Linked DNA regions of Arabidopsis thaliana. The protein of the gene in region 4 interacts with the protein of the main gene of each other region in a pairwise test. Each region holds a gene or a part of one and is shown on either strand. Other genes may lie near its edges.

The links.
Region 1: the proteins of AT1G76510 (region 4) and STO interact in a two-hybrid assay, tested with the Arabidopsis thaliana proteins (one large-scale study listed by BioGRID).
Region 2: the proteins of AT1G76510 (region 4) and AT3G52250 interact in a two-hybrid assay, tested with the Arabidopsis thaliana proteins (one large-scale study listed by BioGRID).
Region 3: the proteins of AT1G76510 (region 4) and SDG14 interact in a two-hybrid assay, tested with the Arabidopsis thaliana proteins (one large-scale study listed by BioGRID).

What each region holds. Positions count from the first base shown.
Region 1 is NC_003070.9:1,827,343-1,832,879, reverse strand, and holds STO (B-box zinc finger family protein), read left to right. Parts: upstream 1-2,896; 5' UTR 2,897-3,014; coding exon of another isoform or gene 3,015-3,114; 5' UTR 3,115-3,191; coding exon of another isoform or gene 3,192-3,220; coding exon 3,221-3,403; intron 3,404-3,572; coding exon 3,573-3,893; coding exon of another isoform or gene 3,894-3,923; exon of another isoform or gene 3,924-3,975; coding exon 3,976-4,218; 3' UTR 4,219-4,540; downstream 4,541-5,537. Other genes in the region: AT1G06050 (ENHANCED DISEASE RESISTANCE-like protein (DUF1336)), read left to right, coding at 1,213-2,154; AT1G06045 (uncharacterized protein), read right to left, coding at 3,015-3,114, 3,192-3,358; AT1G06030 (pfkB-like carbohydrate kinase family protein), read right to left, coding at 4,750-4,884, 4,966-5,082, 5,174-5,506. UniProt on the Arabidopsis thaliana protein: Acts as a negative regulator of seedling photomorphogenesis and light-regulated inhibition of hypocotyl elongation. BBX24/STO and BBX25/STH function as transcriptional corepressors of HY5 activity, leading to the down-regulation of BBX22 expression.
Region 2 is NC_003074.8:19,373,728-19,382,958, forward strand, and holds the start of AT3G52250 (Duplicated homeodomain-like superfamily protein), read left to right. Parts: upstream 1-2,410; 5' UTR 2,411-2,659; exon of another isoform or gene 2,660-2,755; 5' UTR 2,756-2,901; coding exon 2,902-3,079; intron 3,080-3,790; coding exon 3,791-4,927; intron 4,928-5,154; coding exon 5,155-6,225; intron 6,226-6,788; coding exon 6,789-9,231. Other genes in the region: AT3G52240 (transcriptional regulator ATRX), read right to left, coding at 1-413, 783-1,092, 1,323-1,494, 1,590-1,755, 1,832-1,955, 2,041-2,072.
Region 3 is NC_003074.8:22,849,903-22,858,872, reverse strand, and holds SDG14 (SET domain protein 14), read left to right. Parts: upstream 1-1,900; 5' UTR 1,901-2,324; coding exon 2,325-3,050; intron 3,051-3,133; coding exon 3,134-3,189; intron 3,190-3,273; coding exon 3,274-3,442; intron 3,443-3,711; coding exon 3,712-3,831; intron 3,832-3,903; coding exon 3,904-3,972; intron 3,973-4,061; coding exon 4,062-4,130; intron 4,131-4,222; coding exon 4,223-4,314; intron 4,315-4,450; coding exon 4,451-4,543; intron 4,544-4,745; coding exon 4,746-4,881; intron 4,882-4,988; coding exon 4,989-5,061; intron 5,062-5,147; coding exon 5,148-5,247; intron 5,248-5,338; coding exon 5,339-5,463; intron 5,464-5,651; coding exon 5,652-5,797; intron 5,798-5,896; coding exon 5,897-6,001; intron 6,002-6,143; coding exon 6,144-6,208; intron 6,209-6,289; coding exon 6,290-6,515; intron 6,516-6,622; coding exon of another isoform or gene 6,623-6,625; coding exon 6,626-6,865; intron 6,866-6,948; coding exon 6,949-7,038; intron 7,039-7,133; coding exon 7,134-7,220; and 8 more. Other genes in the region: AT3G61750 (Cytochrome b561/ferric reductase transmembrane with DOMON related domain-containing protein), read left to right, coding at 1-302, 387-976; RMF (reduced male fertility), read left to right, coding at 8,398-8,657. UniProt on the Arabidopsis thaliana protein: Histone methyltransferase.
Region 4 is NC_003070.9:28,706,888-28,715,306, reverse strand, and holds AT1G76510 (ARID/BRIGHT DNA-binding domain-containing protein), read left to right. Parts: upstream 1-2,358; 5' UTR 2,359-2,573; intron 2,574-2,796; 5' UTR 2,797-2,808; coding exon 2,809-3,204; intron 3,205-3,341; coding exon 3,342-3,475; intron 3,476-3,577; coding exon 3,578-3,617; intron 3,618-3,994; coding exon 3,995-4,047; intron 4,048-4,127; coding exon 4,128-4,242; intron 4,243-4,453; coding exon 4,454-4,546; intron 4,547-4,910; coding exon 4,911-5,033; intron 5,034-5,120; coding exon 5,121-5,169; intron 5,170-5,253; coding exon 5,254-5,317; intron 5,318-5,590; coding exon 5,591-5,657; intron 5,658-5,842; coding exon 5,843-5,893; intron 5,894-6,108; coding exon 6,109-6,201; intron 6,202-6,284; coding exon 6,285-6,376; coding exon of another isoform or gene 6,377-6,380; exon of another isoform or gene 6,381-6,514; coding exon 6,515-6,626; 3' UTR 6,627-6,968; downstream 6,969-8,419.

The DNA.
Region 1 (5,537 bases), about 27 Mb from region 4:
TGGTTATTTTGACGATTTTTGACAAAAAAAAATAGGAAAAAGTAAAAACTAACATTACTTTTCTTTTTCTTTTTCTAATTTTTTTCCTTTTTACTTGATTAGGTGTAAAAATTAAGGGAAAAAAATCTTATAGTTTGAATTATATAATCTCATACTTGATTAGGGAAAAAATCATATGGTATATAGTTTTATTTTATAATATTCATAGTAAATAATCATATATTTTTTTTGTCATAATAATCATAAATTTTTGTTAAATCCAAACTAATAATATTATTTTTATTTTGAATTCTATTAATAATAATTACTAGTTGGACTTGGACCTTATTTCCAGTTGGAAGTTTAATTAATTAGATATGAACTAAAGCGTTACGCCACGGAAGAATTTAGGATCTGTTCGCAGCATCCGTTTCAACGCTAAATCCAAACAACAAAAGAAGATTAGCAAAATCGGATTATCTTCTTTGTTTCTTTTCCCTTGACAAGTCTTCGTTTTTGAATTAGGGTTTTTGGACAATTCTTCTCTTCTTCGGCTGCAAAAGGTTTATTGTTTGCTCCTTGTCCTGCGATTGAATTAGTCTTTTGTTATTTGTATCTCTCAACTTTGATTTTTTCCTTTTTATTATTGTAGCTGATTCCTCTTGAACCTCTGAAACTTGTTAATCGTTTCTGGGTTTTGATTGCTCTGTTGATAAAAAAAAACGTTTTTTTTTCCGTTTCTTCTTATGTGTTGTAGATGAATGTAAAATTCAATTATCTGGGCTCTGTCTCTGTGCTTTGTCTATTGAATGGTATGCATGTTATTTCAGATAATCTAGGGCTTAGGTTTGTAGAAAATCTCAGAATCGTGTATGCTGAATTTTGATGTCATTACTCAGAATTTGAGTCAATTTACTAACTTTATTCTAGTTTCCGGTGTAGCTATGACTTGAACCGGAGTTACCAGCTCCTAGTTTTTGTTTCTTTGAGCAATTTTTGTTTCACTCTTTTCTTTTAAAAAGTTCTTGTGGCATAGTATGAATCCTATGGGAAATTAGATGAGGAATAGATAGAGCCTCAGACATACATGGTTCTGTTTTCTGATCACATGTTTTGGTCTTCTTGATGGCATATTCTTGTTTGCTATATTCACTAAGTAGAATCCATGAGATTGTTTTCCACACTCAGTTTTACTCAAGGATTTAAGCTCTGTGTTGCAGGTTTTCGCAAGATATGGCTGGCTCTGTTGGTGAGGAAACTGAGCCAGAATGGATTAAGAGAGTGAAATTAGAGGGAGCTGTTCCATGTCTTAAGCCAGACGACAACTGCAAAAATGGTTGGACGACGCCATCTCCTGACACATTTATGGTTAGAGGACCAAAGTATTTCTCTGACAAAGTTAAGATACCTGCTGGTGATTTCCTTCTAAAGCCTCTGGGTTTTGATTGGATTAAAGGTCCTAAAAAGCTTTCTGAGATCCTGAGTTATCCAAGCAGCCGAATCAGGAAAGTTATCGATGAGGAGTTTCAAAAAGATGGAACTAAGCCTTTTGTCTGGGCATTCAATCTCCAGCTTCCTCACAAAGACAATTACAGTGCTGTGGCTTACTTTGTTACCACAGAGCCTATCCTTGAAGGCTCCCTGATGGATCGGTTTTTGAAAGGAGATGATGGGTTCAAGAAATCGAGGCTTAAACTGATTGCAAACATTGTCAAAGGCCCTTGGATTGTTAGAAAAGCTGTTGGAGAGCAAGCGATCTGTGTGATTGGACGTGCACTCTCTTGCAAATATGTTTCAGGGGAAAACTTTGTGGAGATTGATGTCGATATTGGTTCTTCAATGGTCGCTAGTGCCATTGTTCATCTCGCATTTGGCTACGTTACTACATTGACAGTTGATCTTGCGTTCCTCATTGAGAGTCAGACCGAAGCAGAGCTTCCAGAAAAGCTACTAGGAGCTGTGAGATTCTCTGAGCTGCAGACCGAGTCAGCCACATCTATCGAACTGTCCTCAAGCACCAGTAATGACCAGTGGGATCAAACTACCTCAGAGCGGTCGAGCTGGTGGAAATCGATTGGAAATGGATTCTCTAATCTGCTTAATCAAGATACGGCCAACATGAACAATACTTCTCATGGGGACATCCAGAAGGATGAACATGTACAGAAGCAGTAAGTGTTTTGGGAGTTATTAACTTCACAATTCTTTGAATTTGTTCGATTTCATTACCAAAAAACAGAAACAAAAACTTGTCAATTCTTTAAAAAAACCACAGATGTATAGATTGGTTTTTACTAATATGGATGGATATGTGATATCCAACAACAATTCTTGTGACCAACCATGCCTAATTTTGTATTGGTGTCTTTTAGGATCATTCTTTTTCTCGAACGGGCTAAGCATTCATTTCTTTGTTAGTTAACATGCCAGTATATTTTTAATGATTGCATTAATCGTTTTTATGATTGAGAAAACGAAAAAGTGAAAGAAGAAGAAAAATCTGATCGAATGGTACATATTAACATAACATGTCGTCATTCCAAGGAATCAATTCACATGTCATTTTCAAGATTACGTGTAGTCGTGTAATATTCTCTGATTTGAGTAATACCATTACCCAACTCTTTCTTTCTAGATGAAGCCCATTTTTGTATACAAATCTTTCTTGAAATCGTAAAAGTTCACGAGACTTGAAATTCGAGCATATCATATAAAAGGAGCGTAAAAGTCTAGTGGTGGTGGAATTATTGAAGTTAGTTTATTAGTCAAAATTAATGTGTTTTGACTAGATTAGTAAACAAAACACAAATCTCTACTACGTGAGAAAATAACAAGAATATAAAATAGCAAAGTGTGAATATAATAAAAATATCTAAAGGTAGGAGAGATGACGAGAGGAAGAAGGAGAGCCACAGAAAAAGAGTGGGACCCGCAAGACCTTGCTGTAAGAAGCAGAGTGTTTCCTTTTGATACGCAGAATAATGAAAACAAAGCAACAAGCAAGATTCATCAAATCCTTATCTTCTCTCTTTCACTCACAACCAATTGCTCATCCCACCTACTTGTTCCCCACAAAACACTCTCTCCCTCTTTGTTCTTTCATCTTCTCTAAGCTCTTTCTCTGAACCTACGCTTCTGCTAAGCTATTCTAAGAGAAGCCAGACTAGCAATAAACCCTTCATTTTAAGCATTCTGTTTCCTTCTTGAGAAACCTAGATATTTTGGTTTCTTGTATCCGGTGATGAAGATACAGTGTGATGTGTGTGAGAAAGCTCCGGCGACGGTGATTTGTTGCGCCGACGAAGCTGCTCTCTGTCCTCAATGCGACATCGAGATTCACGCCGCTAACAAACTCGCTAGCAAGCACCAACGTCTTCATCTTAATTCCCTCTCCACCAAATTCCCTCGTTGCGATATCTGCCAAGTAAGTTTCTCTACAGATCTCATTAGATCTTGTCAAATATTTTATGGATTCGTTAGTTTGAATCTGCTCTGTTGCAAAGTTGTGATTTTATAGATCTTGTAGCAACTGTTGTATGTATGCCTTGTTGTTTAAGACTAGGGTTTGCTCATTATGTTCTTATGACTTGTAGGAGAAGGCAGCTTTCATTTTCTGTGTAGAGGATAGAGCTCTGCTTTGCAGGGACTGCGATGAATCCATCCACGTGGCTAATTCTCGATCTGCTAATCACCAGAGGTTCTTAGCCACTGGGATCAAAGTAGCTCTGACCTCAACTATATGTAGTAAAGAAATTGAGAAGAATCAACCTGAGCCTTCCAACAACCAACAGAAGGCTAATCAGATTCCTGCTAAATCCACAAGCCAGCAGCAACAACAACCTTCTTCTGCTACTCCACTTCCCTGGGCTGTTGACGATTTCTTTCACTTCTCTGATATTGAATCCACCGACAAGGTAGTGATGAGAATTGAGATTCAATGTTAGATCACTTTCTTTGCAAGAAGCTTTTATTGACTTCTTGGTTTAAATTGAGCAGAAAGGACAGCTTGATCTTGGGGCAGGGGAGTTGGATTGGTTTTCAGACATGGGATTCTTCGGTGATCAGATTAATGACAAGGCTCTTCCTGCAGCTGAAGTTCCTGAGCTTTCTGTTTCGCATTTAGGTCATGTTCATTCATACAAACCTATGAAGTCAAATGTTTCACACAAGAAGCCGAGGTTTGAGACCAGATATGATGATGATGATGAGGAACACTTCATTGTCCCTGATCTTGGCTAAAAAGCTATATGTAATCTATGTGTAGACATTCTTCAATGTAAAAGAACAAACAAGAAACCTATCTGCATGTGTGGAGTTAATGTCATATACATTTTAGTTTTGTCTTAAGTTGTGTAAGATATGTTGAGAGCTTATAACAAATGTCTGTGTTTGAGTTTTGTTCATACCTCTTGAACATGGTCTATGCTTAATGCTTTGATGCTACAAACTTGATACTAAATGTGTTCTCTCTGTTCTTTCTTGGTTTTTTTTTGTTTGTTCCTGATTATTACTCTGTTTTCAAAGCCTTGAGAAACAATCCTCAATGCAATTTACGGTTCCAAACAACTACGAAAAACTCTTTGTTTTCTATTAGCAAGAAAAGCTCAGAAGTCACAAGTCTGTTTTATTCAATACAATGAAGAAGAAAAAGAAAAGACAGAGAGAGAACCAAAAAAAAAAAACATTACAAATGATCAGAATCATCAGGAAGAATCCAGAACAGATTATTACAATAGACAAGGAGAATTCTGGACTCGAAGAGAAGTTTTACTATTCTACTTGTATCTTAAGAAAACTGAGAGCTTCACAATCTGTAGGAAGAGCTGGAATGGCTCCCTTTTTAGTCGTCGTGATTGCTCCACAAGCGTTTGCAAATCTCAGCACTTTTCTCAATCTCTCTTCCTCCTAAGAAACGAGAAAAATCAGTAAATATCATCAACAATATTCAGTTGATTGAATAGACACACAATATCAATGGGAGTTAACCTCGAGTACAGATTGATCATCAACAATCTGGTTTAGAAGCGCGCCAACAAAAGAATCACCAGCTCCAGTAGTATCCACAGCGTCAACATGGAAAGTTTCAACAGATCCATGGAAATCCTACACAAGAGTCAAGAGAACATCAATCAAAATCACACACCAAGATCATCATGATGATGATGAATCCACATGAATGTTTGTTGTACATTACCTTAGTGTAGTAACGACATCCATTTTCGCCAAGTGTAACAAGCAAGAGCTTCAAATTAGGATGCCACAGAGACATAGCTGTCTCATCATCAATCGTTTTGTTTCCTGTCAAGAACTCAAGCTCGACGTCACTGACCTTAATAATGTCAGCCTTGTCCCAGATACTCATGATCTGTTTCCTAGCTTCTTCAGGGGATGGCCACAGAGGTTCCCTGAGGTTTGGATCGTAGGAAAGAAGAGCTCCAGCTTCTTTCGCCACCTCCATCGCCTTCATGTGAGCTGATCTACATGGCTCTGTAATCAAACTTATTGATCCATAGTGAAACACTTTCGCCTGCCAAATAAAGAAAAATATTCATCAAATC
Region 2 (9,231 bases), on a different chromosome or scaffold from region 4:
TGAATGGTAGTGGTAGTACTGCCAAAGAAACCACCTCTCGAGTTTGGTTGCGTTACAGGAGGCGACCGAATAGTTGATGAAGAATGCTCATTGATACCTTTACTGCTCTGTGGTTGGGAATACTCACTTGTAGGGCTCTCAGAAATATGTTTTCCTTTGTCTCGAGAAGAATAAGCATCTTGTTCCACAGATCTGGAACCACAACTATTGCAGCACTTATCAGGTGACGTTACTGAATTATCAGGTGAACCATGCGACAAAGTTTCAAACGATTCTCTAAAGTCAACTTCATTAGCTATAGACCTTGTATCACGGAGTGAAGGGACTACTGTAGAACCTTGAAGTGGAGATTGAGCTTTTTCTCCGTTACTTTCATCCGTCACATCTGAATGGTTTCCAACGTCACATAAATCCTGAAAGATTGGACAAGAAGTATTGTTCAGGAATTCCAGTGAATTAAGCGGAGACTAAGTTCAACCTTTGTGAACTAAGATATCTTCATAGATAATGTCTTCAGAAACAATATGGTTATATAACAGTTAATACAAAGAAGAAAAAAAGCATACATTTTTCATAACTTTTTAGCACAATGGAGAGAAGACAGAATAAAAGAATCAATGTATACGCATGCAAACCAAATATAGAAAACTGCAGCATATGCACAATTATCAACGCCACATAAAAGAAACTTTGTTGGTTGATTCATATAAACACGAAATATACCATAATCACAATTGATGAAAACAATTTCTAAAGGTCAAAGCCTGAGATATAGGGCATACCAGGGCAGATGATTTATTCTCTCTGAAATTTTTCTCCCATTCCCTTTGAGTCTCTTCCATTTCTTCAAAAGATCCGATAACTTGAGCACGGTTTTCTAACGCTCTCTCCAAGTTGATGTCCGTACTGTTTCCCTTCTCTAAACCATTTGAATTTGACAACTTGTTCAAACTATCGTCTCCCTTCACAACAGCAACATCCACCACGGTTCTAGATACTTGATCATTCTTTTGAGGAAGCATTTCAGTGCGAACTCCATTTTCTTGAAATTCAACCGGATTTCCATCTCTCTTGTAATCCTCAGATACATTTCTGGAAAGTTGAAAAATGTTGGTTATTCTATTACACAACATACATAAGCAAGCTTTACAATTGCTTTACTAATAAAGCGATTTATGATGTATATAATTAGAGAGACGATTTCTAAGCATATAACCTTCAATCTCAAATTTCTAAGCACTGTGTTTCTAGGCAATGCTTGCACAATTTGTAATAGTAAACCACTCATAAATCACTGAGCAGCTAAAGATAACAAAACAGACCTTGCTTCACCACGTCTAATTTGCCGACAAGATCTTCCTTGACGATGTCTCGGTGAGGAAAAATAAGCACACTCGAAACCTCTGTGATGTCTCCTATTCCGGTTTTCCTTGATCTTGTCAGAAGAACCTGGTTCCCTCCTGCGACCTTTCCAGGACAAACTTTTGCCTAACACTAAAAAACAAACAAATCTCCGACACTGAGAGTTGCTCAAATCTCATTAAACCCATGAATCAGAAACTTTCCTCCTATCACATAAAAACTCTAACCTGAGTTACTCTGAGAGTAGCATTCATGATCAGAGTTTGAATCATAATCATCAGACACATCATTATACCCATTTTCCTCTAAGATCGCAAGAACATCAGCAGTTGCCTGTTCAGCCTTCTTCCTCTGTAAAGATACAATCTTGAGCTGTTCCTCTAACTCAGCTACCTAAAGATATTAAGACAGGACATAAGACTAAAGAACATTTCACTGGATCATCCCTACAAATTATAAAAGAACATACTTTATCAGCGAGACCATCAAGCTTTGCTCTAGCACTCTTGGAAACAGCTCTTTCAGCTAATAAACGTGCACGAAGAAACTCAATAGTCACTGAAGTAGGATCTTGTGCCTCTGAATCAATACACCTATAAAAATGTACCAAAACCCAAATCTAAATTTCGATTCGCAAAACGATCTTATTCATCTGGAAAAAAAAAGACAGAACTATACCGATGATGATCTAACTTGTCTTGATTCGCCATCGTGTAGACGAACCAAAAGATCTACGAACTTCGAAGATCGGTGTGAAGAAGAAGACGTCTCTCTCTTTGCTTACACAAGTCAATGAAGATAGTTTTTTTTTTAATCTTTCACTAATGTATTTTACTCTCTTCTCATTGGTTGTAAGTATTTACTAATTTCGATTTTATACTTTTTTGTGTAGTAGACAAAGTCATGGATTTGGATTGAGATTTACAGAAAAAAAAAAGTAAAAAAAAAAAATGTCTTTTTCAGAATAGGAGTAAAATAATATAAATAGAGCGGACGCGAAAAATAAAATGAAATAGAGTTTAATTGGAATCTTTAGGTTACAGGGATTATTTTCTCTTTCCTTCTTCTTCTTCATTGTTCTCTCTCTCTCTATCTCTTCTTCTTCTTCTTCTTCTTCTTCTTCTTTGGATTTTGTGAGCTAATAAACAGAGAGGAATCGCCATAAAAAAACCTACTTTGTCTTTCAACACCGAAATTAAAGGAAATCTCTTTTTCTCTATTGAGCTTTTTTCTTCAGCGGTGAAATCTCCCTTCCTTGTCTCTCAGTAGTGATTTTTACATACAGCTCCGCTCTCAGGTTTCTTCCTCTTTTGATTCTGTTTCCGCTCTTTTTGGGTTTACTTCGGATTTTAATCTTCAGATTGACGAAACCCTAGTTTGATTTTGGTTTCAGAAACGACGAGTCTTCATTGATTTGGTTTCCCCACCAGCTCTTCTTCTTCTTTTTTTGTTCCGAGACCTTTTTGACGGAGGTAGGTACGGAGGGAATCTGGAGTTGGGTTTGAAGGATACTCTTATGCGATTCTTCTGGATAACTTGATGCCGCAGGATCACGCTTCGTGGGATCGGAAAGAGCTCTTGAGGCAAAGGAAACACGATAGGCCTGAACAATCTTTTGAATCCCCGCCTTTTCGATGGAGGGATTCGCCTTCTTCTCACCATGTTCCTCGAGAGTTTTCTTCTCGTTTGGGATCTGGAGACTTCCGCAGACCTTCTTGTAAGACCTCCTTTTCTCTCTCTAATTTAGGGCTTTGAATTCTCCTGCTCTGTTTTTGGTAGAGTCTATTTTTCTGTGGATTTGTTAGATATCCACTTTTCCTTTTTGGTTCTATAATTTTTTTTGAATTGATTTAGAGGCAAATCCTTGTTTCTTAGATTGAGTTCTCACTGTGTCATGATAGCTTAGGGTATTTTTGGAGCATTAACACAGCTCTTAAGATTGATAGGAAGTGAATTGATGAGGTTACTCTTCAAAGGAGCAATTTTTAATACTCAGGTAGATTTAGTTTCATTGCAAGAGGACTTTATTACCTCAATTGTGTTTGTGTTTTGTGTTCATGAATCTTAAAACGGATAAAAAGTCCTAGCATCGTGGAGTGTTGTTAGTTTTAGTTTTACATGTTGTAGATTTAGATGAAGATAGCTCCTACTTTTGCAGGTTTCTTACTTGTATAATTTTTCCTATTAGTATTGAAACCCTGTGTGGGCGTAATGACACTTTTTTCTCCTAACTTGACTTCGTGTTATAATGATTCTAAGTTTGACTTCCTTTTGGAGAATCTTATACTACATGTTTTGACAGCAGTAAAAGTCTAATTTTTTTGGATAGATGTCGTTTTTAGTTTCACAAGTTATATATTTGGTTGAATACAGGTCTTGCTTTAGTTTGTGATTCTCATCTTCCTTTTGTCTTCAAAATTTTCTGAAGGTCATGGTAAGCAGGGTGGACGGCACCAGTTTGTGGAGGAGACTAGTCATGGATACACATCTTCTCGGTCCAGTGCCCGAATGTTTGATAATTATAGGCCATCAGCATCGCGTGGAGACTGGAGATATACCAGGAATTGCAGGGATGATAGAGTTTCTGTAAGCCAAAAGGAATGGAAATGCAATACATGGGAGATGAGCAACGGATCTTCTAGAAGTTTTGAGAGGCCATTTGGTATTAGAAATGGTCGGAGGTCAGTTGATGAAAGGCCGCTACATGCTTCAGATACTCATTCTACCGTGGTGAACTCTTTGGATCCAGCCAACTCGGCTCATTATCTGGACAATGAGATCAGTACCCCAGTACGGTCTCTTAAAATTAAAAATGAGCATAAATTTTCAGATCAAAGGTTATCACTTCCTTCAGATCCTCATTCTGAATGTATTAGCTTGTTTGAACGGCCTTCTTCTGAGAACAATTATGGCAATAAGGTTTGTTCACCAGCAAAGCAATGCAATGATTTGATGTATGGTCGAAGGTTAGTTAGTGATAATTCATTAGATGCTCCAATCCCCAATGCAGAGCTGGAGGGGACTTGGGAACAACTTCGCCTGAAAGACCCGCAAGATAACAATAGTTTACATGGTATCAATGATATAGACGGTGATAGGAAATGTGCAAAGGAGAGTTCTCTGGGAGCAACTGGGAAACTTCCACTGTGGAATAGTTCTGGGAGTTTTGCATCTCAGAGTTCAGGTTTTAGTCATTCAAGTAGCTTGAAAAGCTTGGGGGCTGTTGATTCCAGCGATCGGAAGATTGAGGTTCTTCCTAAAATTGTTACTGTGACTCAATCTTCTTCAGGAGACGCTACTGCCTGTGCCACAACTACTCATCTTTCTGAGGAGATGAGTTCTAGAAAGAAACAACGTCTCGGGTGGGGTGAGGGACTGGCGAAATATGAGAAAAAGAAAGTTGATGTTAACCCAAATGAAGATGGAACAACATTGATGGAAAACGGTTTAGAGGAACTACATTCGTTAAACAAAAATATTGCTGATAAAAGTCCCACAGCAGCCATTGTTCCAGATTATGGTTCCCCTACAACACCATCCTCTGTAGCTTGCAGTTCATCACCAGGTACAATACAATTTGTTAATACTTCTCTCTGCGTGCTCTTCTCATTCCTGATCTATTTGGAGTTATCTGCATTATTTTCATATTACTTGAATTCTTCCATCATGTATCTGTTCTTGTAAACACTGATTTTGTTTTTCTCTTTTTATCATGTCTTCCATTTGTTTTTGTTATCTTCTGCTGGGGACAGTGTAACTCACTCGTAATTTTATTCTTTTGTGTACATTCAGGGTTTGCTGATAAATCATCTCCGAAGGCTGCTATAGCTGCTAGTGATGTCAGTAACATGTGCCGTTCGCCTAGTCCCGTGTCTAGTATTCACCTTGAACGATTCCCAATCAATATCGAGGAGCTCGATAACATCTCAATGGAGCGTTTTGGCTGTTTACTCAATGAGTTACTTGGTACTGATGATTCTGGTACAGGGGATTCCAGTTCTGTCCAATTGACATCAATGAACACATTACTTGCCTGGAAAGGTGAAATTTTGAAAGCTGTGGAGATGACTGAATCAGAAATTGATCTCCTTGAAAACAAACATAGGACACTAAAGCTTGAAGGTAGAAGACACTCTCGTGTTGTTGGACCCAGTTCATACTGTTGTGATGGAGATGCAAATGTGCCCAAGGAGCAGGCTTCTTGTAGTTTGGATCCTAAGGCAACAGCTTCTTCTGTAGCTAAAACACTGGTGAGAGCTCCTGTGCATCAGGCTGGTTTAGCCAAGGTTCCTGCTGATGTTTTTGAAGATAGTCCTGGGGAAGTTAAACCTCTATCCCAATCTTTTGCCACTGTTGAAAGAGAGGAAGATATACTGCCCATACCATCTATGAAGGCAGCTGTTTCTTCGAAAGAGATTAACACACCTGCTTTTGCCAATCAGGAAACTATTGAGGTTTCTTCTGCTGATGACAGCATGGCCTCCAAAGAAGACTTGTTCTGGGCTAAGTTATTATCTGCCAATAAGAAATATGCTTGTGAATCATCTGGAGTATTCAATCAATTGCTTCCAAGAGATTTTAATTCGTCTGACAACTCAAGATTCCCTGGCATATGTCAAACGCAGTTTGATTCTCATGTCCAAGAAAAAATTGCAGATAGGGTAGGCCTATTGAGAGCTAGGGAGAAAATTTTACTCCTTCAGTTTAAAGCGTTTCAGCTCTCATGGAAGAAAGATTTGGATCAGCTAGCTTTAGCAAAGTACCAATCAAAGTCTAGCAAAAAAACAGAACTATATCCGAATGCAAAAAATGGAGGGTATCTGAAGCTTCCCCAATCTGTACGCCTGAGGTTCTCTTCTTCAGGTAAAGTTCTCAAACCTCTTTTCTCTTCTATTTACTCTGATATATTAAGCTTGTCGTGGTTTGTCGCTGTCTGGGATGAAGTTTGGCTTTTATGATGTGTTAGTTGTAGAGACTTGAATTATGTGATTTTTCAAGGGCGTGAGGTGTTGAGAGAAACATATACAACTCTTGAGAACTATTGTTACAGAGCTGTACATAGTGGTCATAATTCATTATTTGCAAGCTAAGTTCAGAGTCATTCCATGCTAACGTGTTTGTTGGATGTTGATAACGCTATTTTAATTTTATGTTAGATGTTGGTTTTATTCTAGTATTATATCCACTGTAATATTCATTTTAACATCTAGCTTGTTTAACGAGGAGGTATAGTTTAAGCAGATGCTTATTTCTTGTCTATCTTTTATGTTGTCGTAGGTAAATATTTGTCTTAGATGCTAACTAGAAAGTATATCAATACGCAGGAGATGATTGCGGTGTAAAAATTTGGGATAATGATCACAGATGAATTGAAGCCTTTTTTCATCGAATTTAAAGTTAATAACTGTTTTACACTACCTGTGCAGCTCCAAGAAGGGATAGTGTAGTCCCCACAACAGAGCTCGTAAGTTATATGGAAAAGCTACTTCCGGGTACCCATCTAAAGCCTTTTAGAGACATTTTGAAAATGCCTGCTATGATTTTGGATGAGAAAGAGAGGGTGATGTCGAGGTTTATTTCTAGCAATGGACTGATTGAAGATCCATGTGACGTTGAGAAGGAAAGAACAATGATTAATCCTTGGACCTCAGAGGAGAAAGAAATCTTTCTGAATTTGCTAGCAATGCATGGGAAGGATTTCAAGAAGATTGCTTCATCTCTTACCCAAAAGACAACTGCGGACTGTATTGATTACTACTACAAAAACCACAAGTCTGATTGTTTTGGGAAAATAAAGAAGCAGCGTGCTTATGGTAAGGAAGGGAAGCACACCTACATGTTGGCTCCACGAAAAAAGTGGAAACGTGAGATGGGGGCTGCCTCTCTTGATATTTTAGGGGATGTCTCCATTATAGCAGCAAACGCTGGAAAGGTTGCATCAACCAGGCCGATCTCTTCCAAAAAGATCACCCTTAGAGGTTGCAGCAGTGCTAATTCATTGCAGCACGATGGAAATAACTCTGAAGGGTGCTCCTACAGTTTTGATTTCCCACGTAAGAGAACTGCTGGTGCAGATGTTTTAGCTGTTGGTCCTTTGTCACCAGAGCAGATAAATTCTTGCTTAAGGACTTCTGTGAGCTCTAGAGAGAGGTGTATGGATCATCTGAAGTTTAATCATGTCGTAAAGAAACCTCGGATATCTCATACTCTACATAATGAGAACAGCAATACTCTACACAATGAGAACAGCAACGAAGAAGATGACTCATGTTCGGAAGAGAGCTGTGGGGAAACAGGTCCTATTCACTGGACAGATGATGAGAGATCTGCCTTTATACAGGGTTTTTCGCTTTTTGGCAAGAATTTTGCTTCAATATCAAGGTACGTCGGGACAAGATCTCCAGATCAGTGTAAGGTTTTCTTCAGCAAAGTTCGGAAATGTCTTGGGTTGGAATCTATAAAGTTTGGATCTGGAAATGTAAGCACATCCGTAAGTGTTGATAATGGCAATGAGGGTGGTGGGAGCGACTTGGAAGATCCTTGTCCTATGGAGAGTAACTCTGGCATAGTGAATAATGGAGTTTGTGCCAAGATGGGTATGAATTCTCCTACCTCACCTTTTAATATGAATCAGGATGGTGTTAATCAATCAGGCTCTGCAAATGTGAAAGCCGACCTTAGTAGATCAGAAGAAGAGAATGGGCAGAAATATTTGTGTCTGAAAGATGATAATAATCTCGTGAACAATGCATATGTCAATGGCGGTTTCCCGAGTCTAGTTTCAGAATCTTGTAGAGATTTGGTAGATATTAATACTGTTGAGAGCCAGTCTCAGGCTGCCGGAAAAAGCAAGAGCAATGATCTCATGTCAATGGAAATCGATGAAGGTGTCTTAACATCTGTCACTATATCTTCCGAGCCATTGTATTGTGGCCTAAGTGTTCTTTCCAATGTTATTGTGGAAACCCCTACAGAAATCTCACGAAAGGGCTCAGGAGATCAAGGTGCTACAATGCCTAAATTTAGTTCAAAGAATCAAGATGGAGTGATGCAAGCTGCAAACAGAACCAGAAATTCTGGCCTTGAACCTGAAAGTGCACCTTCAGGTTTCAGGTACCCTGAGTGTCTTCACCATGTTCCGATTGAGGTGTGTACGGAAAACCCTATAGGCGTCAGTGCACCACGAGGAAATCCAAATTGCCATGCAGAGTCCGAGTCAGGAAATTCTCTTGTTGGACAAGTTGACGAAACACATGACTTGGGTTGGCCCAAGAACAATCTGGAATTGGATGGGAGGCTTCAGGTTTTAGGCCATGTAAACCCTGAGCAGATTGGTCTACTAAAAGCGACCAATACAGAATCTTGTCAAAATCCCCAGAGATCAGTCACCCAAGATCTGAGCAGGATAAGTAGATCAAAATCTGATTTGATCGTAAAAACCCAACGTACAGGTGAAGGCTTCTCACTCACCAAGTGTACTAGTTCAGCTCCTAAGCCTCTGGCAGTATCCCATAAAGAGGGCAGATCTGGTCATAGCAGGAGCCATTCGTTTAGTTTGTCTGATACTGAGAGACTCCACAAGAATGGAGATGTGAAACTGTTTGGTACAGTACTTACTACTGATGAGAATGGAATAAAACAAAAACACAATCCATGTGGAATTGTCAGGTCATCATCAACCTTGAGCAGGGACCATGATACAAGACATCATTACATTAATCAGCAACACCTTCAGAACGTTCCCATTACGAGCTACGGTTTTTGGGATGGCAACAGAATTCAAACCGGGCTCACATCTTTGCCAGAGTCGGCCAAGTTGCTTGCAAGTTGCCCTGAAGCATTTTCCACGCATCTAAAGCAGCAAGTTGG
Region 3 (8,970 bases), on a different chromosome or scaffold from region 4:
TGGATCAAGCGCGATGATCGGATGGATTTCGAAAAAGGGTCACGCCAAAATCAAACAATACTATCTCCAAGGAACGGAGAGAGACCAAGTTGTGCCGGATCAAGGAGAATTGCAACTACAAAAAGTCCCGCCGGTGGTGGCTCTTCACGGAGCAATGATTTACTTAGCTTTCCAGGTGAAATTCGCCGTTAGAGTTCCTCGGAGAGCTGTCATTCTAGCGTTTAGCACTGCTTATCCTTCCAAGCTAGGCCGTTTGACTAAGCATGATGATAAAACTACAGTCATCGTCGATTTTTCCAAAGGTAATATAATGTATATACTAGTCTAATCTATACATGTTAAAAACAGGGGAGAGTTCAATAGTTGTATGTTCTTGGTCAATGCAGCTAGTGGAGCAACCTCCATAAAGACGACAACTTCTACGGAGAAGACAAAACATGGAGTAATGGCGATACTCGGATGGGGTTTCTTACTTCCTGTAGGGGCAATCCTAGCAAGATATCTAAGACATAAAGACCCTCTTTGGTACTATCTTCATATCGGTTTTCAGTTCACGGGCTTTATCTTCGGTTTAGCCGCAGTTATTCTTGGGATTCAGCTTTACAATAGGATCCAGCCGGATATACCTGCGCATCGAGGCATTGGGATCTTTCTTCTAGTCCTTAGCACTCTTCAGGTTTTGGCTTTCTTTGCACGGCCACAGAAGGAGACAAAGATGAGGAGATATTGGAATTGGTATCATCATTGGATTGGGAGGATCTCTCTCTTTTTTGGAGCAGTGAACATTGTTCTTGGAATTCGAATGGCGGATAATGGAGGAGATGGATGGAAAATTGGATATGGATTTGTTCTGTCAGTCACGTTACTTGCTTTTGTTGTTCTTGAAATATTCAGGATTCGTGGCACTATCGGCTCACCATCTTCTCGCAGCCCTCCCTCTTTTGAGACACATCCAAGTTCTAGTACTAGTGTTTGATTCAAGATCTTCTGTTTTTTTTTTCTTGTACATAAAGGTACTTTTTTTGTTTTCCCCATAATCATTGGTCACTGATTTTATAGTCCATATGTGTTGTAATTTTTTTTTTTTTTTTTTGGTTCGGCAATATGATTTTCAAGTGGAAATCGGTCTTGGTTTAGACTTTAGAGCAACATGGTGATATTTGTTTTTTTAAGGTTTGTTTCTTTTTGGATCTCAATTTGTTGTCATGTAAGTTGAGTTTTGAAGGTTGTTGTTCCTGGAAAGTGAAATATACGTAATTCTTTAATTCCTTATGAGTTTGTAAATGTGCATAGACGTCCCTAGACCCTAAGGCTAACATTATGGAGCGATTAACAAAAATATGGTCCTTTTGTATGCAAATGCAATCTCTCATCTTTCATATAAATCATGAACGTATAATTGGATGATAAGTTTTGAGTCTTATTTGAAATGAAAAAAGGATCATCTTCCTCCATTGTCTGGTAATGTCAAAATGTTGTTGCATGAGAAACATACAGTGTTCATATTGGGCCTAACTCGAAGTTGTTTCTTTTATTAATTGTCAAAATGTTCCACGAGAAACATCGTAGGCCCAATATGTAGCCCAACAAGCTTCGATTTTTCTAAATAAGTTGTGTGACAAGAAGAAAAACGAGAGAGTTATTTATTGATGCGCCACGTCAGATTTGATGAAAAGGAAGATTTCGACTTGGCGCTCTCGTACGCCTGAAAATTCGCAGTCTTCCCTCGTCCCCAATCCCTGGAGCCAAACACTGTTCCATTCAACCGCCACGTCAGCATATTCGTTTTTTTTATTTTCGTTTTTATTATTTGTTTAGGCGAATTAATTTCAGAATTAACCATAAAATAATAATAAGGAGAAATATATAAACCGACGACGGACGGTGTGTGTCTCCTTCATCAGAACACAAAGATCCTTCTCCTCCTCTTTTGTTTTCCCTTGCCGTCGATTTTAAGGTTTTATCTTCTCCGTACTGAAACCGACTGATAATTTTCTCCAGGGAATCTACGAGGAGGATTTGTTGTTTCTCCGTCGTTTTAGAGTTTAACGATTTCTCCGTCGTTTGATTTCTTAATTCTATCCTGTTGAGGGAAACGAGAATTTGGTTTTCGTTTTCGAATTTAGGGTTAGAGAAGCGGTTTCGCATTGGGTTCGTTGACTATTGAGCCAATTTGCGAGAGGAATTTAAACGTTACGAGTTTCTTCTTTTTCCTTCCGGAGGTCCGAAGTGCGAAATCTGTTTTGTTTGATGAAATTAGGGTTTTGGAATCGGAATTTGGATAGTCGTTTATGTTGAATAGGCGAGGATTGCTTAGGTAGGATATGATTTTGAAACGGACCTTGACGACATTCGAGAATCAGAATCTGAAGCGGTGCAAAATTGATTCAGAAATTGAGTATGGGAGGAAAAAGGGTGAGATTATAGTGTATAAGAAGAGACAAAGAGCAACCGTGGATCAACCATGTAGCAAAGAACCAGAACTTCTTACTAGTAGCTCAAGCTCCTTGACAAGCAAAGAAGAATCTCAACAAGTTTGCTCTGACCAGTCCAAGTCTTCGCGTGGCAGAGTTCGAGCGGTTCCTTCTAGGTTCAAGGACTCCATTGTTGGTACATGGAAATCTAGCCGTCGCAAGGGAGAGTCGACGGAGTCTAGTCATGATGACGACGACGTATCTCTGGGGAAGAAGGTCAAAGGTTTCAGTGGAAGCTCGAAATTGCATCGCAGCAAAGACTCGAAGGTGTTTCCACGTAAGGATAACGGAGACAGCAGTGAAGTAGATTGCGATTACTGGGATGTTCAAATTTCCTACGACGATGCTAACTTTGGTATGCCGAAAAAGTCCGACGCCTCGCGTAAGGGCGTGTACAAACCAGAGGAATTTACGGTTGGCGATCTTGTGTGGGCCAAGTGTGGGAAAAGATTCCCAGCATGGCCGGCTGTGGTGATCGATCCGATATCACAAGCGCCTGATGGGGTCTTGAAACATTGCGTCCCTGGCGCAATTTGTGTCATGTTTTTTGGGTACTCCAAGGATGGAACTCAGAGGGTAATCTCTTTAATCCTAATCTGTCTTCAAGCTGGCGTTTATTTTTACTATCTTTTTTTCTGAAAACTTGTGGTCATTAACAGGACTATGCATGGGTAAGACAAGGGATGGTGTATCCATTTACGGAATTTATGGACAAGTAAGTACATGAGACGCTCTTTCTGGAAATCTTTCATACTTGTGTGTTTGTTTCTTGTTCCTTACTAGTCTTTCATCTCTTCAGATTTCAGGATCAGACAAACTTGTTCAATTACAAGGCAAGTGAATTTAACAAGGCACTAGAGGAAGCAGTTTTAGCAGAAAATGGTAATTTTGGAGATGCTGAAATCATCTCCCCAGATTCCTCTGCGACGGAATCCGACCAGGACTATGGACCTGCTTCTAGATTTCAGGCACGTTTTCTTGACACATATTCCTTTTCTTTTTTTTGGTTAGATGTTCAAGTTTGCTCTTCTAATTGTTTTGGGAAGACAAAAGTAAATCAATTCTGGACAGTTCTATAAGCATCTTGTAGTGTCTACGTCTGGTGATATACTTTCTGTTCTAAGTCATGAAGTTTAAACATACTACATAGGCGTAGATGTACTGTTTGTATCTGACTCTTTTATAGTTACTGGAAATACCTTCCCCTAAACGATTTGCTGATTTAATTATTGTGTAGGGTTCATATCATGAGGACATAAGGACATGCGACGGTTGTGGCTCAGTAATGCCATTAAAATCTCTAAAAAGGACTAAAGACTCACAACCGGAAGAGCTTTTATGCAAACACTGCTCAAAGGTTCTTATCAAAACTTCCTCCCTCTTCAGTTTTCTTTGATCGACGGGAATTGAATCCAAATTTTTGTTTCAGTTGCGGAAATCCAATCAGTATTGTGGCATCTGCAAGAGAATATGGCACCCTTCAGATGATGGAGATTGGGTGAGAATATCTGTGACCATGTTTGGTGAAATACTGACCTGAGTAAGAAATTATAATATCTATATAGCTGACTTGATTTGATGTATTAGGTTTGTTGTGATGGGTGTGACGTATGGGTACATGCTGAATGCGACAACATTACGAATGAACGCTTTAAGGTGCCGTTATACATCGCCGTGCATCTTATCTTTTGATTTTAAGTATTGAAGACTATTGTCGAATGACTGTTCTAATTTGGTTTCATCTTAAGGAACTGGAGCACAACAATTACTATTGCCCTGATTGTAAAGTCCAACACGAGCTTACGCCAACAATATTAGAAGAACAGAACTCAGTGTTTAAGTATGTTGTTAACATCTCATGTTCTCTCACTTTAGTCTTCTCGAAAAAAATATCTTCTCCTGCTTTTATTATTTGCATTGTTCTATTGCTAATTCTTTAATTTGCAAAATTCCTCTTCACAACCTCTTTGGGACAGGTCTACAGAAAAGACAACAGAGACTGGGCTGCCTGATGCGATTACTGTAGTCTGTAATGGCATGGAAGGGACATATATCAGAAAATTTCATGCGTAAGTATTAGATGCATCATCTTTATTTCAATTTCCTCATTTGAGCAGGATTTTGTTTGTCCATGACTGTACAATGCAATGCCGTAAGATGATTTTTTCTCTGAAGACGACAATTCTGCGCTTGATCCTAGGCTTCTGTTACCATTCTCTTGTTGTTCCAGAGATTAAAACAACACATTTATCTTGGAACTATTGTTTTCAGAATTGAGTGCAAGTGTGGTTCATGTGGGTCAAGGAAGCAGTCACCAAGTGAATGGGAACGGCATACAGGCTGCAGAGCCAAAAAGTGGAAGTATAGTGTAAGAGTGAAAGACACAATGCTACCTCTAGAAAAATGGGTACATCCCTTATGCTTAACTCTCTCATAAACTTTCCCTTATATACCCCTGAAATTTACATGCATGATGTCTATAAGAAGTATAATACTGACAACAAGATATTACAGATTGCAGAATTCAGTACCTATACTCTAGAAACCCAGATGTTGGATAAGCAAAAGATGCTCTCTTTGCTAGAAGGTAGAGTATATCTTAATTCTTGGCGTCCTTCTTTTGGAGTTTAAAATTGCTAAGATACTTGCTTACTACTTATTTTATATGCACAGAAAAGTATGAGCCAGTCAGGGCTAAGTGGACGACTGAAAGGTGTGCTGTATGCAGATGGGTAGAAGACTGGGAAGAAAATAAAATGATCATCTGTAACAGGTTACTTTAATGGCATAATTTGGTTATACTGAATTCTACAGCGTTCTTATAACTAAACATGAGTCATAAATCTGACCAAATCTGTAAGCAGGTGTCAAGTGGCTGTGCACCAAGAATGTTATGGGGTAAGCAAATCTCAGGACCTCACTTCCTGGGTATGCAGAGCATGTGAAACACCAGACATTGAGAGAGATTGTTGTCTTTGTCCTGTAAAAGGTACTACTGCAGAATTAGCTCTCTTTATGATTTTTTTCCTGATCTTGCATTAGTGATGTTTTATTCTTGACTGTCCTGTCACAAGGTTCCATACAGTCATTCTGAGAATTCGCTTTTGGGTAGATGTGCTCTAAATTGAACTCACTTTCCATATTTCTAGTTCTTTCCTGAACTCTTCCATTATGTAGGTGGTGCTTTAAAACCAAGCGACGTTGAGGGTTTGTGGGTTCATGTAACATGTGCTTGGTTCCGACCGGAAGTTGGGTTTTTGAATCATGAAAATATGGAGCCTGCTGTTGGACTTTTCAAAATTCCAGCAAATTCATTTCTTAAGGTATAAATGAATGCTAGAAGTGGAAAGTATAACCAACATGTTCTATTAGAAGTTTTATTATATTATACATCATTCATATTTTCTGAAAATTCCTTTTAGGTTTGCACAATTTGTAAGCAGACACATGGTTCCTGCGTTCATTGCTGCAAGTGTGCAACTCACTTCCACGCAATGTGTGCATCACGGGCAGGTTACAACATGGAGGTTAGTCAAGTCCTTAAACTGCTTAGCCTCTGTGCTTATGATAATCTTCATTTTTCACGTTAAACCCCTTGCAAAGGTGTTCTGTCCTGTTAGTTAATCATCTTAGGGATGTGTAAGTGATGTTTTTGTCTATGGAATTTAGTTGCACTGCCTGGAAAAAAATGGTGTGCAGAGAACCAGGAAGTCAGTTTACTGTTCATTTCACAGGTTTGTTTCTCCGACATATTCTTTAACTGACCTGTTATGTGATACTGGGACCAACTGATCGCCTGTATCATTACTATGTAGAAAGCCAGATCCAGATAGTGTTGTAGTTGTGCACACACCCTCAGGAGTATTTGGCTCTAGAAATTTGCTTCAGAATCAATATGGGCGCGCCAAAGGTTCAAGACTCGTTTTGACCAAGAAGATGAAGCTTCCAGGTTTCCAAACCCAAACCCAAGCTGAACAGAGTCGTGTATTTGATTCTCTTTCTGCAGCAAGATGCCGTATCTATAGTAGATCAAACACAAAGGTATGCATCTGGGGATCTTGTTTATTCTTGGACGTTGGAGAGTCTTTCGTTATTAACTATTCCCTAGCAAAGCTACTACTTCATATCTTTTACTGCTGACGTTTCAGAAGATTGATCTGGAGGCTATATCCCACAGGCTTAAGGGACCAAGCCATCATTCTTTGAGTGCAATCGAGAATCTAAACTCTTTTAAGGCAAGTTTCTCATTCCGAGCTCCATTCATGTCAGTGTTTTGCTTTCTTGGGGCAACGTTTTCTGAATATCTTAGGAAGATCTTAATTTCCATTTACCTTGTTACACACCAGGAAGCAGATTTTACATCATTCAGAGAACGGCTAAAACATTTGCAGGTAAACATTGATTCATGAAGAGTTAATATTTTCTCCATCTTGTTATCCTAGAATATTTATAAACAATATATTATCTTCTTCAGAGGACAGAAAATTTTCGAGTCTGCTTTGGTAAATCTGGCATACATGGATGGGGTTTGTTTGCAAGGAAAAGTATTCAAGAAGGAGAAATGGTATTTAGTTTACGTTGTATTATTCGTGGTTTTGATATGGCTAAATTGAAATTCTTGAGGCAAACTAACTACTGATTATTAAAATTCTTGTGCAGATCATCGAGTATCGTGGGGTGAAAGTTAGGAGAAGTGTTGCAGATCTGAGAGAGGCAAACTATCGTTCGCAGGGCAAAGATTGTTACGTAAGTTCCGATTGCTTGCTTGCTTAGATTAAAACATTAACCGCTGCATCTAATAAGTAACTTATTGTCTAACAACAACAACGCAGCTATTCAAGATAAGCGAAGAGATAGTAATTGATGCCACAGACTCTGGGAACATCGCACGATTGATCAATCATTCAGTAAGTTCCCTAAATTGGCACACGAGATCAAAACCTGGTAATTAATACTAAGGATGTTTATGTCTTGTGCAGTGTATGCCCAATTGCTATGCTCGTATAGTGAGTATGGGTGATGGAGAAGACAACAGAATCGTCCTCATTGCAAAAACCAATGTCGCAGCTGGGGAAGAGCTTACGTAAAACATTTCTTCAGCTTCTCTTTTCATAAGATATAGATTAAATCCATATGCATTATTAACCTTGATCATGAAAACCTATTTCTCTACAGGTATGATTATCTCTTTGAGGTTGATGAATCTGAAGAGATCAAAGTGCCCTGCCTTTGTAAAGCTCCAAACTGCCGCAAATTCATGAACTAGAGCTCTCTTAAGTCTAAACCATTCTTGCAAACGTTCAAACTTGCTTTCTAATTGAACAGTAATGGCGGTGGGAAGCTAACCGATTTGTTTCCTCGGCGGCTAGCTTACGGGAAATCCCTTGACATGATGCTGGCTTCTTTCCGATTGATTCATTAAATGTACATTCAGCTAGATACTTTTCCGGCGTAGCAATTTTGTAAATGTCTAGAATTCACCGACTCTAAGAAAATAACTTCACAGCCAACAACCTAAAGTTCCAAAATGTTGAAGTGTTAATATAGCTTTTAACATTTTCCATAATACAGTTTCTGAATTTTCTATTAAAAAAAATCCATACTATCTTGATTTTTCATAATCATGGAAACCACACTCACTGGGACCCTCTCGGTTAATGCTACGTCTGTTGGTGCTAAACCGGGTTCTAACTAAAATTGAAAAGTATTTTAAAAATTTTAAAATCTACAGAGGTAGAAAGTTTGTTACAGGGGTATATACGTCATTTGACATTCGAAATTTTCAAATTCGCTGTGTCTCCCTCGCGGCTATATATCACAGCTACACGGTTCAGAGCAAAAACCAAATTCTGAAACAATTTTCCGCTTAACAAATTAGCGACTAGTGAGATACTGAGTGAGAAGAGAGATAGAGAGAGAGAGAATGAAGACGAGATCTAGTGATGCCGAAGGAGATAGTAGAGGGAAGATGATAGCTCCGGTGGGAGAAGGAAATGGTGGACGGAAGAGAAAATTGGTGCAGAGCAACGAACAGAAGAACGATATTCAGAGAGAAGAAGATGGTAGAGCTAAGAGAAGAATCGTTCAGAGCAGCGACCAGAAGAACGGGAAGATCCTCAGAGGAATTCGTGGCTGTGTATCTCCACGGTGCTCTGCTCAGACTTACCAGTCTCGCTTTTCATGGTATTTTCTTCTCCCCTATGAACGAAATAGATCTATTCTCAGATATTATTTGTGTGTGTGAGTTTGGGTTGAGCTCGAATTTGATTTTGAAATGTTTGTACGGCGTTTAATCTTACTGTATTGGATGGATCTAGGAGATAGAGTTCGATCAATCATCTTCGGTACCTTCTGGAATCAATTTGATTTGTATGAGATTCAGATGCTTATATCGATCTCTGATCGTGACTGTGTGGTTGCTGAAACCTGGGATTTGAGTTTTTCTTCATATTATTCCGCTTTCAATCGTCAAAAACTGAATCCAGATTCAAACGAG
Region 4 (8,419 bases):
GAACCGCCGAAGAAAACAGAGCAATCCAAGAAGGGAATGAATTTTTTAACCGATTTAGAGGAAGAGAGAGATTTATCGTCAGTGGTACAGCTAGATGACAGTGAGAAGCCGCCGTATCAGAACTTTCTCACTCTCTCTCTATGAAAGAGAAAGAGCGTCTCCAAAATTTGGCCTAGTACAACACTTGCATGGTCGCCTCTTCATTCTATTTAAATTCTTGTCTATCCACAAAATGCTTTTTTCAAGAAACTAATCTCTTTATTTGGGGCAAACTTAGAAACTAATCTTTTTAACTAAGGTAAATTATTATTCTATGCATATGGGAAGAGAATTTCATATTTTCATCCTACATATTTTGTATGTACAACTTGGTGTCCGCATGATCCGGGTCAGACTTTTACATCTTCTTTGTTTTTGGAATTGTTTTGTTCCGTATAAGCAACAAAATAACGTATCATAGATTCATAGTTAGCTCCTTTTTGAATTCCAACTTTCACAACTTATGAGTTATGATATATCTCGTAAGTTTATGTCCTTTGATTTTGTATATTTTCCAATTTTTTGTAACCTAGTTTATGTACAAAAAGAAAGAGGAAACAGTTCCACAATTTTTGGAAAACTCAACTCAAGCGGGGTCTTTGTTTGTTTCGTATATTGTCGTATAACACTATTGAGAATAATAAGGCTTTATCTGAGAAGACGAATTTATATGGTAACCGTCGTCATGCCTTTCGTCACATCGACTACGAAACGTGCCCCATGTTTTTTTCTGGTTCTTGCCCAAGGTGTGGAGATATTGCAAAGTGTTCATCGATTGTTGAAGATTTATTATTTATTTTATTTTATATATTTTTTTAAAAAAAACATTTTTCTTTTTGTCATCTATTTTTAAGGGGAATTGTTATAAAAATGTACATTTTCATATGCGTCGTAAGAAATTTGAAATGGAAACAAAACTGAATGAGAATAAGATAATAGTGTGGTGGCTTAAATTAATTGTGTGATGGAAGCGTACCAACGAAACGATCGAATATTAATGATAACGGAAAATTCAAATTAGTGTGTGAGGCTGCGACCAGTGTCCGTCCATAAAATTCAATGCAAGATATAAATGTAACAACCCCAATATCAAAATAGTCGACTAATTCTTACCAAAAAAAAACAATTAGCGAATAATTAGAATTATCATACAGTGCTAAAAATATGTATATATATATATACGAGATACAAATATTTAAGTATATATTGTCAAAGTGCAAATTTTAGTGATTTATTAATGAAAAATACACAATAGACTGGATAATTGTAGAAGTGGGATATATTATACACACTACAATAAAAATCTCTTATGTGACTCGAATCCTATAACTCTTCTCATGTGAAGCAAGAGATATTAGACCATCCTTAATTCCTTATATGTAAGCTTATTGTATATGCAACAAGCCTAATGAAGGCCATGTCATGAGCTATCTTCTTATTTATCTATCTTATTAGAGCATGAATAAACTTGTTTGTATAGGATTTCTACTCACACAAGAGACTTGTGAATATGTATTTTTAAAGAGGTTAATTAACAGTATTTGATATTTCTATGATCTCATAGCTATGAATATGATGATTCAAAGAACGTGAACAAAAGATATCTGTAACAAAAAGAAAAGGACAAAGATATGTCAAATTGAAATGCTCCACTCGTTTTAATGTCCGTGAATGAAAATAACAAACTTGACATATATTGAAAATCTTGATTTGTACTATTGGAAATGTGGGGCATCAAAGACTATTATTCCCTAAAAATAATGGTCCTTAATTCATTAGAATTTTGGACAAAAAGCTTTGCTTAATTCTGTACCATTTTGCTTCGAATGAATATGCTCATACTATTTGTTATCCTTTGGATCCACACCAATTCATTAAATTGCAATTATTTGTCACTTTGACAAGTACTATACCTACATACTGAGAAAATCATCATCACCATAATTGTAAAGTTAATCACGTTAATTATATGCTAGCTAGTCTATAATTAAAGATTCAAACACTATATTTTTTTGGTACAACAAAAACTCTATATTGAACATGAACGCACAATGCTTCGATATTTCTTTCTCTATCTTTAGTAACAAATAAAAACACAACAACAATCGAGACAAGCAGAAACCTACGTTGTCTTCCGTGTTTAATTGGGCCTAAGATTATATTCATAATATACCTTACATATTGAGCCCATAGTTTACAATAATGGGCTTTGTTATGTAAATGGGTCGTAAAAGTCCAACTTTCTGAAATATCATTAATAAGTTTTGCTATTAAGATCTTCGTTAAGAGTTAATACAAGTAACAAGCATTAATTTCTTTCTTAATGAATTCATGTGTTCATTATATCATCCGTATAAATCTTTTGATCTGCATATCTCTCCGTTTAATTGATATCTTTCCGTTTCTCGCTTCTTTTTCTCCGCCGGCGTCCTTCCATTTCGCCGGCTGCTATCGAACCCTAACCCGCGACGACTCCACCGTCTCCGGCGTCTTCTTCTTCCGGCGAAACCGGTAACCGTATCTTTTGTTTCTATGTATGTACTCCATGATTTCGTGAAGCTCTGCTTTCTAATGCTTTAGTCGCCATCACTGTTTGAATTATAGCGAATCAGTGAGAGAGTAGGACTCAGAGTTTTGATGCGTTCCAATTCTCGATTACATGCGTCTTGCATTCTCTCTGGAATTATCAATAGTGCGTTTCTATTTATGATTTCTGGATTTTGAATTCTGCGTTGTTGTTGTGATGCTATGTCTCAGAGAATTAGCTTCATGATGGCGGATACTGAAATGCAAGAGCAAGATGTGCCGTCTGGTACCAAAGGTGTTGTAGAGGAGCCTTCAGAACTAGAGAAAGACCTAAACTCTATTGAAAGACCTAAGTCCCCTGTTCCAGAGGATACGACTCATACTTTGGATAGTGATGTTCATTTATCTGATGCTCCCATTGCTAATCAAATTGAGGCTAATGAAGAGGTTGGTGGTCAGAACAGTGTTGATGGGAGGAATGGTGATGTTGATCAGTCTGAAAAGAAGATTACTAGTGATGGCGGTCAAGAGGAGACAACACTTGGGGAATCAAATCCTTTGAAGGGGGATCCGTCGAGTCCTCATGTTCCTGAAGAAAGTGTTAAGAAGTGGAAGACATGGTTGTTGAGTGATGCTGAGGTGATGAGAGCACTTTTCTGTCACATTTCAGACAACTAGTCTGCCTGCATTTGCGTTAAGCGTTGAATATTGTTTTTTGTGAGATCTGTGGTCATCACAGTGGCTCTATTTCATCACGAGTTCACGTTTTTATACAGGCCAGGGAAGTTGATGAAGCAGGGGCACCACAGGATCAAGAGGCGTTTATTAAAGAAGTGGAGGCCTTCAACAAGGAGAATTTCCTGGAATTTAAAGCCCCAAAGTTTTACGGACAGCCCTTAAATTGTCTCAAGTGAGTTGTTGGAAGTGTTGCTTTAATTCTTGGAAAATTCCATACTTTTGGTTATGCCTTGTTTGACGTGATAACGTCTGCATGCTTTACTTTGAAATGTAGGCTTTGGAGAGCCGTTATCAAGTTAGGTGGCTACGATGTGGTAATGATCTACTTTCGAACTTCCAATGATTTTATGTTTACTAAGATCTTCTCCTCCCTCTTCCCCTTTAGGAGGTTAAAAATCTTTTAGATTATTATCTACAGGTCATGCGATTTATACGTTTTGGGTTGTATAACGTGTGAACTATAGCTAATGAATGAGAAGATGATTTAAGAACAAGGAATGGCTTCCGGAAATAATTAAGTCAATGCAGTTATGTGTTAATTATGTTAGGTCTGTGTTTTGGCAACTGAACTTGCTTAGTGTCATCTACTCTGTTTGAAAGTTTATACTCAAATCTATCCCACCGCCCACGTTGCTTGAAACTCTATGTCTGTGGTATTCAAAATTCCTATGATTTTCATTTTCTTATATAGGTCACCACATCTAAGCTATGGCGGCAAGTTGGAGAATCGTTCCATCCTCCAAAGTATGGCTTGTATTGTCCTCAATCTTCAACCTTTTCCGCTTTCTTGTATGAAATTGACTTTCCACATTTTTGTTATTCAGAACATGCACTACAGTCTCCTGGACATTCCGCATTTTCTATGAAAAGGTGAATTTCATTTTTGGTCTAAGTACTGAATATGCATTGATATTAATGAGGTTGTACTTGTTCAGTTTAGTTCATACATGTTCGATTCAGACAATGTTCTTTTGCTCCTTTTGTCAGTAGTGTGTCTGAGACTAGCTGGTTTCGTTATCATTTATGTCGTGGTTTAGTAGCCTTCTAACAGTTTATTTGGATTGACTCCTTCCTAACATGGAGTCTGGTTGATTTCTATCCTATCAAGATGTGGAAATTTCATTATTTGTATCCTTATTTCCAACCGCAGGCACTTTTGGAGTATGAGAAGCATTTAAGGCAAAATGGTGAGCTTAACCTTCCTGGTTCAGCTTCTCTTCCGTCTTCAGGCATTGAAAAGGAGGTTAGAATTCCTATGAAATTGTGTAATTCTTATGCTTTTGGGTAGGTGAACACTTTGAGAGGAGGTCAATTTAAGAGTAGGTAAACCATGTTGTTAAATTAGATAAAGTGAAAGCTCTGCAGTTCTTTATAAAATCATTTTATACAGATGGAAATTTCGGGCATGAGTAATATCAGCTTAACATGTTGAATACTACTCTCTGCAATCTGATTGAATAAAGCTGTACCGTTTTGTGTTATATGGGAAACATAAGAAATAATATGTACACAACACAGCTAATTACCAATTTAAGCTCCCTAAAACAGAATTTTAAACTTTATATGCCTTCCCTTTTTCTCTCATTGATATAAGGGCACTTATGTAGGCAAGTAGCCATCAAGCTTCAGGGTCAGGCAGAACAAGAAGAGATGCTGCAGCTCGTGCTATGCAAGGTTGGCATTCTCAGCGCCTTCTTGGATCTGGGGAGGTTACTGAGCCTATTGTTAAGGTTTCTATTTAGACCTTACCACGTTTCATAATTCACCATGCACAAACTTACGCTTCAACATGATTCTGTTTGTACATATATTTTCAGGAGAAAGGCTTGAATTCAACCCCAAAGCAAAAGAACCTCAAAAACATTGGTAATATTCCTAAGCGATGGCTATTGTTCTCCACTACCTACAGAATGATTACCTAATGCCACCGTGTATAAATGTTCTTTTCAGGTGTGCAGAAACAAAAAACAACAACCGGCATGGACCTTGTTTTTTCACACGAATCAGAAAAACAGTTACGAAAGATAATCATCTCCTGTATTTTTGTGTTGCTTATGCAAGATTGCTTTACCATGTGCAATTCCATACAATCTTATCCATCGAAAAACCCTGCATTGTCAATGTTTGGTAGATCACAAGCACTGTTTTCTGGGTGGTAGTTGTAAGAACTGCCATTTCAGAAATAGCGCAGGAGATTAAATGAATACAGAGAATTTTGTAACTTGTCTTTTCATTTCGTTTATTATAATCAGAGCAAAAGATTGATAATATGGTTTTGGCTTGATAGGTCAACTGCCGAGGTTATAGATGTTGGACCCCCTGCAGACTGGGTGAAGATCAATGTCAGAGAAACTGTGAGTACCACTTCCGCTTCCCCCCTCATATAATGCAACGCTTACCCAACTCTTGAAACTAGAGACATGAGAAAGAAAAAAAGTCAAAAACAACACTGCCTGAAGAAAGGGAAATAACTGCAATCTGGGTTTTTGTTTTGAATCTGAAATCTTACCAAATTTATTTTTGTTGTCTTTATTTACAGAAAGACTGCTTTGAGATATTTGCCCTGGTACCTGGACTTCTTCGCGAAGAGGTGAGCTTTTCTCCTTGGAATTCAATCTCTAAAGCTTCTTTGATCAGTGTTTTGTCACTGGAGTGTTACTGATTCCTACGACATAGATGTGAACATATACTGGATTCGAATCTAAATACACACACTGTTGTCCGTTGTAATGAATTTCATAGTAATTTTTTGTGTGATTGCACACAGAATCTAGTTCCTCAATATAAGTTGATTTCTTCTTTCAGGTCCGTGTTCAGTCAGACCCTGCAGGGCGGCTAGTTATAGCAGGCCAACCTGAGCAACTTGACAATCCTTGGGGAATCACACCCTTCAAAAAGGTTAGATTCTAACACTCCAAACAGAGCCCTAGTTGCTAATTGAAGGATAGTTGTCAATTGTTTTCCGATTTTGGTTATGGTAGGTTGTGAACTTTCCCGCAAGAATCGATCCGCTGCACACGTCAGCGGTTGTGAGCCTGCATGGTCGACTGTTTGTGCGAGTCCCATTTGAGCAGTGACCGGTCTCATCCCAAGTGAGCTAGTTCTTTATTTGTCTCTTTGTTTTCTTTTAGGAATTCGTTTGTATCAGAACTAAAAACAAACGATAGCAAATGTGATAGTTTGACTGTGACTTGAGTTCTGAATATTAAAGTAGAGAAATGAATATTGATGTTCCATATAAAGTTAGTAAGGAAGCTGTTCCTTATACCTTCAAGTATGCAACCAACAATCACAGTGTCTGGTATATATCTTTTAGAAAATGAAGTTTTCATCTGTTTTCTCTGTTTATTTCAGTTTCAGGTTTCACATAAAGAAAACTTACAATTTATAGTTCAATCAAGTTAAATGGCTCCTATTGTAGGAGAGTACTGAAGTTTTATGGGCTGGAAGCTTTTGGGTTGAGTTAAATGGCCTGAAAATTAGGCCTTAGATGTGTCGTGTTGCTTTCGTGATCCACAATTGCATTCATATATATATATATATATATGATGAGGAAAGTCAAGAAAATTTTTTTTGAAGAAAAAAACTAAACATATTATTGCAACTTCCAATTTGCATTAGACCCAATATTATATATTTACATCTAACACGTTTTGTGATTTTTAGATATTCATGCTTATCTATTTTCTGTTGACATCAGACAAAAATTAGCAAAACATTCTATTGTAATAGTTAATAATATGTGACTATACTACTATAGTATACAATTTTTGTTTAAGTTCTCTCTTTTTACAACCGTGAGATTCTTGGTCGAATTCATACCAATCTTCAGAATTTATGAAAAAGTATGATATTATTTTCATGTAAAACAATTACAATAACAAATCATACTTAAAAATGTTGTAGTTCGAACCATGATCCTTTAAGTAACATATGTTCTTCAAGCTCTATGGCCCACACAATAGTGTAGACCTTCTTCTTTTTTGGGTGTAAAATAGTTAGTAGTCTAGATAGTGTAGAACATATGTTACTTAAAGGATCTATATATCTATCCAATCATAATTCGTATATATAGGGAAACCTTCACATTTACGTTTACTTATCAGCCGTTCGTATAAAACACACAATGAACAAGATTTCTTAACCCAATCGTTGCTCAACTGCATGTAAGGCACTTGACATGAGCACATGGATATCTTAAAAAGATAAAGTCACAGTGCATGTATCGAAAAGGTCTCAAAGTACATTACCCTTTATTCTCTTTACATGGTTGAAGCCCTAAAATGTCAAATATATGAAAATTATGAAAATAAGAGGTTTTTAAACCATCTCTCATTCTCATTGTATAACAGTAAACATGATGAGACTCCATTTCTTATATACATAAATGTCACCTGTCTTCTCTTAGAAGCTCATTGAAGATATTTCACCACAAATCTCCTTTGGACATGCATTGGTCATGTACAAGCTTTTCCTTTCACTTGATTTTCTTTTTAAATATACGTTTTCATACGGTCCATACATAGTTTCCCTAGGGACTTGATGCATTCCTCATTTTCACACATCTTTGTACTTAAAGCCCCACTTGGCTGTGTTGTTATAGACTTTCCTAATCCTCTAAAAGGAAACTGATAAATGAAACTCTGGGACAAATTTTTCATATTTTGGTTTTGGCAGGTCATGTAATGTTCTCGTGTTTAAGCCATTAACTTGTAACCGTCGAAAAATCATGTTTATATCGTTGTAACGGGTGGGCGAATCTTTTCTTATAATCGACAAAAATATAGTATGCAATTATCACAGTAACCGCTGTCTTTAAAACAAACTCATAAAATTCTAAATAGTTATTTAGTTTTTCGTAAAATTTCTAAAGCGTTATTTACTTTTTGGTAGATTCTTAACGCGTTATTTTCGTGATTAATTGATAAAAACGAAGAAATATTCATATTGATCTCATCGAAATACAATGTAGAACTCAGTTGGGTGAAACATGTACTAAATCAGAGATTCCATGCGTAAACAAGATATTCAATCTAGAGATTTTCAAATCATAAAATCTCGAAGATTCATGTATGGTATCTAGATGAATTAAAAAGAACAAGATGTTTGATTTGTT